Linked DNA regions of Schizosaccharomyces pombe. Changing the gene in region 1 together with any one later gene gives a genetic interaction. Each region holds a gene or a part of one and is shown on either strand. Other genes may lie near its edges.

Region 1 (3,756 bases):
ACAGGACGTGGTGATTGATTTTCAGTACCATTCGGGACTTCGTAAGACGTACTCTTATCCTGACTTGGAAGATCAAGGCGATTCAAATCAAAGGAATGTGCACGACTTAAAAGTTCGCTATCTCTGGCTACAGGCGTAGACTGCCTAAGTTCATCAATGCTGGCGGATATCTCGGCACTAGGGTCGTAAAAACCTACTGTACCAGTTTCCGAATAATTCCATCCTTCGACGTTATGGGACTCAGAACTGACTAAACTTTGGCTAGACTTGTTTGGCTCATTTTCACAATAATTACTATAAGTACGCTTCGTTCCTGGTACGGGTTGCATTGATGGGTGACGTAAATCTTCAGAGCTTAAAATAGCACTCAAATTGTCAATGGTAGAACTGCTTTTTATACGACCACGTTGACTAGATATACTATATCCCACGGAAGCAGAAGTTAGATTGTATCTGGGGACTTCATGATACGTTACAGATCCATGACCATAGGCGGCCTGAGATTTCGGAATTGAAGTGGCACTAATATCCTCATCCATATTTTCCTGTTGTAAAGAATCATTGATAATAGTAGAAATCTCAGGTTCTGAATTACGGGAAGATTGAAGGTATAACTCATCATAGTCTTTACCGTTGGTGGGAAGGGAAAGCTCAGAGAAATCATAAACTTTCCTAAGTGTACTAGCATAGGAAGATCCACTGGAAATCCGTTTTGCTTCCATCTTGGCCAAAACCTTTTTACGAAGACTTTCTGTAGAGATATCTGAGTCGTCTAAGGTGGCCTCTGGGACTGAAGAAAAAGGCTCTGAAGTATCTTCAACAGGGGCTTCCTGAATGGGAGCTAAAGGTTCTAAAGGTTTATAATCCATATCGAGAGACGCCGTCGTTTCGACCCTTTCCAACGCTGGATTGTCCTCTGTGGTATCTTTGGGAAGACTAGGAAGAATCCTTGGACCTACAGTAGAAGATGCAGATAGATGTGCTGGAGGTACGGGCTTGACATCAGATGGTATGCGAGCCAAGTTGGGAACGCTTCCAGCTCTTGCTCGGGCTGGGTTTGTAGACAGTTCATTATGGGATTGATATGGATGTTGAACAGTGTATTCCAACGGAGACATTGTCTTAGCTCGACTAAATTCTGCTACTTCTACCGCCCTCTTGCGAGACGATTTGGAGCGGTCAAAGGATAATTCAGCTAAATTTTGATCCGGATTAAATGTTTCATAATCTGCAACAATATCAGCACCTTTCAAAGACGCAGTAGAAGAACTTGTCGAGTTCATAGTTCCTGCCGAGTACGTCAAACTAGGAATGCGACCTTCTTCCTCGGAATTAATCCTCTTAAACACTGATGTACTACTCATTCTTTTACGATTATCAGGACTATGTTGAGAAGAAAAAGATGAATCGAGGTGCCCATAGCCATGCATATACATGCTTCTTAAATCAAGTGACTCTAAAAGATCTGTCGCAACGTTTAGTTCCGAAAGGTTTCCAAGGGACATATCGCCATCTCCATGTGTAAAGTTTTTTGTTTGATCATATCCCGAGGTTTCATTACTGTTACCCTCAAAAAAAAGGGGTGTTTTTTCTCGATTTGGAGAAGAAAGAAAACTGTTTTCTAAGCCTTTAGAGTCAAGAGACACATCTTTTGCTTCTCTATATGAGAACTCTTGCTCTTTCATCGTCAGGATAGCTTAATTAGACTTTACAGACTATAATACCTTATCGAGTGTTAAAATGTGGACACAGTATCATATAAGCACCCTGAAGTACAACAAAAGACGAGCCTTCTTCTTTATAGCAAATATTAATTCAAATTCTATTAAAATTGATGCTAAAAGCACGAAAACCTCTTATAATTTATTGAAATCCTTCTTCACCTCAGTCATGTGGAGTAGGCATAGGTCACACAAAATCGGTAGACGCTATGATAAGTGGTAGTCCCAGTGAGAACACTGATTATATGGTTAAACAATTCAAACTCTGGATATACCATAAATCGAAGATTAAAGCCAAGTTTCCTTTTTAAAATTAACAAAAAAAGGCTAGTTGCATTGCAAATATGAATTATAGCTGGGACATACTTGCAAAGATAATATTGTATTATCAGTATGCTTATGAATAGCGATGAATAAAGTCATTAGTATGTAAAATAAAATAAGTAAAATCATATTTTGTTGTCTGCTATTTTCGCAGAAACTAAAAAAAAATACATAAAATGAATCTGTTGATAAACAGCTTTTAATTTACAAATACACGAGCAGTTAAAACCTAAAACTAACTATCGGGGCGTAACATTTACTTAAAGCTAAAACCCATACTTTTGAGAAGATGCCTTTTTGTTTGATCGTTGCTGCTCAAAATAAGCTTCAAAGTTGTCTTTTTGACTGATAGCCATTTCAACAAGAGAAGACAGTTGATGACGACCAGGTGCAACACTTTTAATAGTAGGGGCGCTTGGCAATGCTTCTTGGGTCGGTTTTGGAAGTTTGTTGATATCAACGTCTATAATTCGTCCCTTCTCTTTTCGGTGGCGTCCAATTTCAATGTAATCTTCATTGATAATGTTTATGTCCTCTGCATTTGAATGTACTGAGTGATTAGCAATAGAAATGAAATCGTTCTCGGGTTGATTCCTCAATTTCGGAGGATTTGCTCTAGCTTTAGGTTTTATCAAAATTGGTTGGTAAGGTTTCTGATCGGAATCTACTAAAGAGGCTTGCTTTGACTCTGATCCTACGATATTAAATAACGAAACGTTACCAGACTTTTCTGAATACGTTGATTTCTTGACAGTTTCGGAGGATCCAGTAGAGGTTAAATCGCTTACAGAGTTATTAGGTAATAAATAGTTTTCATTTAAATCAAGGTCCGATCTTTTAGATGACTTTGGAGCTAATTCAGCTTGATTTTTTGGGGCAGGCAAAAGTTCAAGTAAATCATTAGATTTAAATCGTTCATTAGAGATAACATCAGATTCATTAAAAGTTTTATCATTAAAAGAAGATTTCTGTAAATCAACTTGCCGTTTCAGGCGTTTAGGTGACTTTTTAGTGCTGTCAACCGACAATTTTCTGCGCGCATGCTGAAACAAAGTAGGATCGAAACTTTTAGAAGCTAATGGTGTTTCTTCTTCAATATCGCTTTCGGATTCTGATCGAGGATATGAAACCAGAGACATATTTTATTAACTTTTGATATTAAGTCGTTTAATAATTCTGAGCGAGCGATTTGTACTCGGTAACTATTCTCACTGCGAACAGAATTATTTATGGCAATTAATATACTCGCATCTGCAAGATGATTTACATATTTATTCAAACTTAAATTAATTCTTTAAGTAAGTCTTAAAAAGAAATAATATTTAATTGAATGCTACCGCCCAACGTTGCTAGCTAGCATATGTGGTATTTTATATATTAATCACCCAAAAAGATTCCAAATTACCATTAATTTAATTTACTTTTATAAGCTTCATAAATATGAGAGTTTAAAGCACTGCAATTTTCGTAAACTTAATTTTTAGGATAGGCCAAAACATGGCCAAATCTTGAAGACTGGAAAAAGTACCGACTCGAATACTTTTATCAATCAACTGTTAGTAGTCGTAACCATGGTATCATAAACCGAACATATCTCTTCAAATATATCAATTTATGACAAACCACAATACATATTTAAATAATCATTAACTTGTCCGTATCAACTTTTAAGCCTCATCAAACTGACGATTAGCAAGTTCAACTAAATGGT
Region 2 (3,756 bases), on another chromosome or scaffold:
TGTCGAGAGAAAGACAACCTAGATGACCGACTTCCGGTAGCAGTAGGTTGAAGTTGACTACTCAAAATAATATCATCATTATCTTTCGTGATAGCATTCTCACTATTTTTACCTTCCTTAACTTCGGGTGATATATCTGTTGCAGCGGGTATAGCCTGTACCTCAGTCTCGGCATTATGAGAGGATCTAACATCCATTGAAGTCAAAGGACGAGCAGCTACTTCAAAAGTTGGTGATGTTACAGAAGGTCGACGCATTGAGCTCCCTGTAAGTACTGGTTTCTGGGATTCAGCTTCTTGTATAGAAGGAACGGGAATAGAAAGTTCAACCTCTGTAACTTGTTCAACTTGTTCATTAGACACTGGCTTAACTGGTGAATGCAATGGTGAAGTAGGTGGTGATGATACAACTTCCGATGAAACTGTTTCACTAGTTTTGGGGCGAAAAGCGCTACGTGTTGGCGAACTTGCCAAAGATGCAGAAGCTGAGGGACGCGAAGAGGAGTATGGATAAGAAGGAGCTTTAGAAATGAGCTGGTCGATGTCATAATTTAATCCGTTTTCTTTGAAATAGTCATTAAACTCGGGTAAAGGGGGAATTGTAGTTCCGGTACCTTCGTTTTGAATCATTTGAGTAATATCTTCATCAATGTTAGTGTTTTCGAGTGTGAGTCGAATCTTTTCACAAGATTCATCATCTTTTACACAAGCAGTAGATATTATATTTGCATAGGCCCACATGTTTGTTTTGAGAAACTCTAAACGATATTCCTCAATATGTTGAAAAGCATCACAGACCTCTGTCCAACGATCAATCCATTCCCGAGTAACTGTAAGAAGTAATTCGTTTGTTTCTCTGTATTCCGCATCCATTTTTTTTACTGCTAGCGCTGCTTGACGGATTTTTAAATTGTATTTGTCTAATTCACGACCAGTCATCTTTTTTGTCTGTCTCATGTAGCTATTCAGCTTGTTACAACTGTACTCGTAGGCATCCTTCTTCTCGGATAAGTCTATTTCGAGAGCCGTTTTTTTCTGATATAATTCCTCAATGGCATTGGCTGCAACAACTTTCTGTTGCTCCGTCTGATCAATGTACTCGCGAATTTTATTTCGCAATTCGGTATTTATCTGTTGTGAGACTTCTTCATGCGCTTTGGCCATACTCCCTGTTTCAGTTCTCATAGATAAAATATTATTTAAAGTTGATCCAACTTCTGGGATGTCTGCTGAGCTGGCAGCTAACTCTTGCAGTTTAGATGCGTACTCACGCTCAATAGAAGCACTAATTTAGTTAGTCAGACTTTAATCAATAATCATACCGAACCCTTCGGTTCATTACACAAGCTATCTTAAGAATCCACGATTATCTGTAAAACATCTTAAATGACAATGAAACGACCAAAAACATATTTCTTGAATCATCGTAGCGCTTAAGGTAGAGCTGCAACTTCCAAACGAGGCAACCATACTTACCGCTTTGCGTAAAATTCATCAATTGATTCTAATACGGAAAGAGAAGATTTTGTTCGGGACATAAGAGCATCCATACCCGCATCTTCAGATCCCTGCAACGATTTTGTTAACATAACTTTGCTTTACTAAATACAGCAAATTTACACATACCCAGAAATTATCGCGGAACTTAACAGAAGATTTGGTAACGTACGGAGCCGCTTCAGATTGAGAGACTCCATTAACCTCCATTTTGTTATTGAAAGAACAAAATGCAGCAAAATTTGTGATTTGTTGTTGGTAAATTCCTGGTAGTCGATTTCAGGAAAAGAGTAAACATGTTTGTTTACTGCGACTACTGCGGTGACAACCGTCCCTAGCAACCGTTGCCTATCTGAGTGCACAATAAGCAACTGCAAATTAACTCTATCCTTAAATTTTGTTAAAAAAGTTTACGAAAGATACAGTCTCGTTAAATTTAATGTTCGATCCTTTCTTAGACTGCCTGGCAGTGAGGAGGACCGACATATCTTTTGCAAAACACCACTGCACCTATTTTCATTCAAACTTGCTAGCAGATACTGCTGCATCTCATCTGTAAATATTCAAAGAATATATCAGCTGAAAATAGCATAGGAGTATAATAATAGCCTCACAAAGGCATGGTAATAGAAAAGCGTTAAAAATATGAAGAGCCAAGAACAACAAACGCCGGAGACACGAGAGAAATCTAGTTCAACTTCTGAATCTGGGCATCCTATATCACTAGATTCTAAGACCCCTCCACCAAACGATTCAAAAATTGAAAGTATTGTTAAAGCACAAATCCTTTTCTTATTGTCGACCTTACGGGAAGACCAATATGATACGAAACTTGAACAGATTCGTCAACTTATCAACAAAAATGCACCCAGAGTATACCACCATTTTCTTCGCCGTCTAATTCAAGGAAATTCATACCGTATTTTTGGTACCGGTAAATCTTCTGATGGACTAGCTACTTATAAATTACTACTAGATGAATTAAAATCTCTCACGAAGTCTTGGGTCATGGCGAAACGTTTTAGTGATGCTATTTCAGGTTCTGATTCTGAAGTATTTGAAGATTTCGATATAGAGGCATTTTTAGACCATTTCCAATTCTCCCCGTTAGAAAGGACTAACCTTTTAATTGGACTTACCACTTCTGTTAAACCTACTTTAGCAAAGAAAGCTTCTGCTTTGCTTAAAAACACATTCCAATCTCTTTTAAACCAACTATCCGATCCTACTCAGCAACAAAGTATTGATAAAAACGATTTGGATTTGCTCAGGGAAGGTTTGTTTACCACCGACTATGACAGAATACCCTTGATTAAAGTTCCAAAGTTTGATGCTATAATTGAGAAAAAGTTGGCGAATTCACGCCCTCTTACAGCTTTGTTTGGTCCGATGAAAGCTTCCAAAGCTACACTTAAGTCTATGAAAGAAGCAATTCTTAAAAAATATCCCCCGGGAACGGCTACTGAGACTGATGTTGCTTATCTTATAAATTCACTTGTAGCTATACATGATTATGGTGCTTGGGACACTGTTTTGATGGGTAAAGCTATCGTTTCCTCTTTTGAAAACCTAAATTGGGAAGCTATGCTTTCTATGTTCGATAATCCTAAATTTATGATAACGGGTACACCTAGTCTTGTACTGTTCTTCACAATCTTTACAAATGCTTACAAGTTAAGGCAAACTAATTTTACGTTGGACTTTCTCTGGGTTCTTTGGAGAAATCCTTTACCGCAACTTTCCATCATTTCTCATATTATCCTATCCCCAACATCGATGTTTGATATAAGAGAGTTCAATGTCAATCCTGTAGTTTCTGTTGATAGCTTAAAGGATTATAGCGAAGAGCTTGTTAATTATGCGAAAATATATGAAAAAAGTAATTTAAATTGCATTGAACTTGTCCAAATCCTTTTACGCCTGTTATCTGAGGTAGTCACCTACGAAACTTCACTGTTCTTGAATTTTTTGGATGAGAAAGTTTCTGCCGAGCTTTTGCTTTTGGGTACGCTGCAGCTCCCTTTGGCATGGAATCCTGTTCAAGAGTCATTAGCGTTTCAATGGTGTTCAGACTTTTTTTCCAATTTCAAAGAACATAAATTTGTCTTCGTTAGGATTGAACGAACAAACCCTCAATTTTTGTTCGCCTTTTTACGCAGTTTGTGGCTGAAGGATAGTTCATCTGTGAATCAGGTAGTAGAGTTTATTATCGAAAATGATTTTACATCTCACATCGGCAACATTCAACCAAATCGATTTG
Region 3 (3,756 bases), on another chromosome or scaffold:
GAATCTTTCGGTTAGCATATTTAAAGATGCCTGTAAACTATCTTCAAAACTTTCATTGGATACTTTTGAATTGAGCAGTATTCTTTGAAGTAAAGAGTTAAAAACCTTGATAAGTTTCACCTTTTGCTTTTCAGTACCTTTGGCAAGTAGTATGTTTTGAATAGTTGATTCAAGTAAACGGCCAACTTCATTTGATGCAAATTCATTGAAGCTACTTAAAATTGAGGATTCATTTGACATAAAGGAATCGACATCTTCATGCGTGGTCTGACTTATAGTCCTCCTCTCTTCTTCTGATTCATATATGTTTAGTTGTTTCTCAAGTTGTTGGTCAGGAAAGTTACGTAGAAGTTGTATAACTTCGTGTATACCTGATTCACGAAGGGAATCCAATATATCAAGGTCAAATCCTTGCTCCAATTCTTCGCAAGCAACAATTAGCTGATTGATAAATTCCATAGTGGAAGTACAATACTCAAGAAACGCTATGTTTGAAGGTGAGCTGGAAGCAGAATTTCGAGCAGGAGAAGATGGAGGGGTTCGTGCTAATTCTTTTTCCAAGATTATGTCTTTGAAAGATTTTATCCATCCAAAGAATAGCGGAACCTCCTTTTCATATTCGGCATTTATTTCTTTAAATCCAGTTTCCAATATGGAGACCACAAGAGGTTCCTTTAAAGACAGAACCCATGTCAATAAATCTGCGGCTACTTTCCTCGGAAGCAAATTTGGGGATATAAGGGTCACTGTTATTGCTTGAAATATATAAGAATTGGAAGTAACCAGAGTAGGTTTTTTCTTCAAAAGAGTAAGCATGCAACGAGGAACTTCAGCTTGCTGAGGCTGCACTACGGCAGACGAATTAAAATATGTAAGTAGATTATGCAAAGCTCGAAGTCCCTGCAGTTCAAGAAAAAGAGATATCCATCGATCGGATTGAGTTGATAATAAAGAAGAAAGTGTGATAAGTTGTAAATTACTAATTGTTTTATTCCATAGTTGGATTACGAACCAGGAAACAGGTCTATGGACGGCAGCTAATTCTGGAATTTGGAAAGAAGGATCATCAAACCCGGCGAAGTTAGAACGAATAAAACACCACTTTTCATCTGGAGTACAACTTTGAAGCATTTCAATGGCGTTTTCGTCAAAATCAAATACAGGGTGTCTTAAAAAATCGTTGAATAGATGTATTAGCTGATCCAATGAAGGTGGTCGAGTACTCGGAATTTCAAACTGAAACGAGCATACCGAATTAGGGCTCCCAGCTCGAATTGAACGTAGTCGATAAACTTGTTCATCATTAGTAGAAGTGAATTTTGGGGAAACCTCGTTGGTAATCTCAGGGACTTCAACAACAGGAGCAAGTTTATGCTTAGTTCGCCTTTTTGTCTTAGATACTGGAACTGAGGGAACAGGAGGTTTCGGCAAAGGATCAAAAGAGCGAGAATGTACAGGGGGTGTCACTGGAGCAATTTGGACATCCTCAGAACTTTTAATAATGTTTTTGGGCAACCTAGGACCCTTGAGATGTTTAGAAGTGTGCAAATGTTCAACGGAAGACGAAGATGGTAGATCAGTGACTTCAACTTTATTCGCTTTGGGTCGATGGACAGTAGATTTCTCGGGTGTTTTAGGTAAAGGAAGCTGGGAATTTTGCAAAGCATGTTTATTATGAGAATTGTACTCTTTCGATGAAAAGGTAAATTGCTTTACATACGGAGAAGTAACTGATTGGGACTTATTAGGCTGGATTAACGTCGATACTGATTCTATGGATGATGGAGGTTTATGGTACGTTGTTTTGGACTTAGGAGCCCTTGGCCCAATAGTTCTTCTGGCTGATGGAGTTGGAGTAGACAGAATAGAGTCATAAGAAAAATTAGGGTCCTGTCCCTTTGACGAATTTCGCATCTCTACTTCATAAACGAATGCAGCATTGTAATTGCTTTCAGGATCTTGTTTTCAAGTATTAACAAGGAAACTGTGATGAAAAGTTTTAGCTCAATTAAACCTTTTTTTTAAATTTGCTAAAAGTTGATGTTCAGAACTTGTTGACCTTCAAATTTGGATAAAGTGGAACACTTAGCGAGTAAGGGTTGGGATGGCTTAAATGATCTAAGATAATACGTATACTTGCGAACAAGTAAGTTGAAAGGAAATGAAACTTCGATATATCTAATATTATAATGGTTAAATTGCGTTATAGCGTATTAAATTTTATTTTTAGGATAATCGAAATTCTCGTCTTGTAAGTCTAGTCTGCATTTGGATGCGGTTTCTGGTTGCTTAAAACGTTGTTCAATGAGAAAATACATTCGTGAAGATCATTTTTACTTACAAAGCATTCGTAACATATTTTGTTGTCACGTTGAGCTAAATATAACCAGAAATTTGCAAATAAACGAGAATCACAAGAACGAATCCATTGGTGCTTTTATTTACATACCATATTAAATTACAATAACGAATTTTCACAATTCGTCCCTAAGTGTTCGAGTTAGAAATTAAAGAAACCTATACGATGCGCTGTATGTAACGATAAGTTTTTATAATGTTGAATTGATTTCAGCTACTAGCTTTAATTCTACCAAGCGCTTTTTGAACAGTTTAATTTTTAAAGCTACAATCCGGTTAGAAACATAAAGAACATGTGATGGTTATTTAATTAGACTAAATGATAGTTCTCAAACTAAAGGCGAGTTGCTTAGGATAGTGCACCTTATTGTCAGGTCATTCCAAAAATAATTACTAAAGGAAAAACCAGAAAAGGTGAGCTAACTCAAAGTTGTAAAATAAGTAATTATGCCTCTGTACTGACAAATGTCGAACTTCTGGGTAAGATGGGCTTAGTTATTAACAAACGAGGTTGAGAATAACACATACGTAGTAACAGCATTTTCAAAGAAACAAAAAGTCGTTTTGATCATTAATACGCCATTAACAGATACCAATGAGAGTAAAGTAAAGGTATCGTTGTGTCAACTAAAACTTCTTTCTAGTGTGATCAAATTTTGACCGTAGCAATGAGCCGGAAGGTGTAGAGGAAAGAGGTTTCGTGGTGGAAGGTGATTTTTGAAGACTTCCGACACCTTCAAACAAATCGTCAAAGGTACTATGTTGAACAGAAGGTAATCGTCGTAAAGGGGGAGACGAAGCAGAGGAAGTGGAGGACGATAGCCTCCTAGGATTGGCCGGAATATATGAAGCTTTTAAATTTGAAGGAGCCGCATTACTTGCATTTATGCTAACTGGGGAAGTAGGTCCTGTGTTAACTGGAGGCTGCCATCCAGGAGGACGAAGCCATTCAGGTAATGTCCCAATTTTGTCCATATAGTATTTTCTCATTACACGAGCAACGTGAGTATCTTCAATCGTATTATCGCTTTCAGGGTCGCGAATACGATTAATTTTTGAAGAAATCGATAACTTTGACCACATGATGAATCGAGAGTTCGCGTTTCTTTATGTACTACTTAATCTCTAAATTTTAAAGAACCTTGGCATTTGAATTCAAAAAATTTCAATAAAAGTAATTAATAAAAAAGTTTAGCCATTATTATGATGCCAAGAACGGCTTAATATCTGGCGACGCGGATTTCATAAAGACGCCAACTCGCTAAACTGTCTAAAGTGATTAATAACACGACCATGAACTACATTATATGTTTTAACGAATGTAAAATCAGCACATAAATAGATAATTTTATTGCAAATGTCCAATTGATTAATATCTTACAAATAAAAATAATTTGT

What was found.
Region 2: mutations in mid1 (region 1) and cdc15 impair growth when combined (synthetic growth defect), as found in Schizosaccharomyces pombe (4 studies listed by BioGRID, with this or other methods).
Region 3: mutations in mid1 (region 1) and cdc12 impair growth when combined (synthetic growth defect), as found in Schizosaccharomyces pombe (6 studies listed by BioGRID, with this or other methods).

What each region holds. Positions count from the first base shown.
Region 1 is NC_003421.2:1,148,531-1,152,286, forward strand, and holds the start of mid1 (anillin-related medial ring protein Mid1), read right to left. Parts: upstream 1,906-3,756; 5' UTR 1,686-1,905; coding exon 1-1,685. Other genes in the region: protein Cwf20, read right to left, coding at 2,312-3,184; SPOM_SPCC4B3.13 (MatE family transporter), read right to left, coding at 3,713-3,756. UniProt on the Schizosaccharomyces pombe protein: Scaffold protein that anchors the contractile ring (CR) at the cell equator during cytokinesis.
Region 2 is NC_003424.3:1,401,181-1,404,936, forward strand, and holds the start of cdc15 (F-BAR domain protein Cdc15), read right to left. Parts: upstream 1,757-3,756; 5' UTR 1,707-1,756; coding exon 1,626-1,706; intron 1,568-1,625; coding exon 1,476-1,567; intron 1,300-1,475; exon of another isoform or gene 1,285-1,299; coding exon 1-1,284. Other genes in the region: CCR4-Not complex subunit Not1, read left to right, coding at 2,142-3,756. UniProt on the Schizosaccharomyces pombe protein: After the onset of mitosis, forms a ring-like structure which colocalizes with the medial actin ring. Appears to mediate cytoskeletal rearrangements required for cytokinesis. Essential for viability.
Region 3 is NC_003424.3:281,634-285,389, reverse strand, and holds the start of cdc12 (cytokinetic formin Cdc12), read right to left. Parts: upstream 2,047-3,756; 5' UTR 1,915-2,046; coding exon 1-1,914. Other genes in the region: exocytic docking protein Mso1, read right to left, coding at 2,986-3,441. UniProt on the Schizosaccharomyces pombe protein: Plays a role in the cell cycle. Involved in cytokinesis. Component of the cell division ring. In the absence of profilin, caps the barbed end of actin filaments, thus preventing subunit addition and dissociation.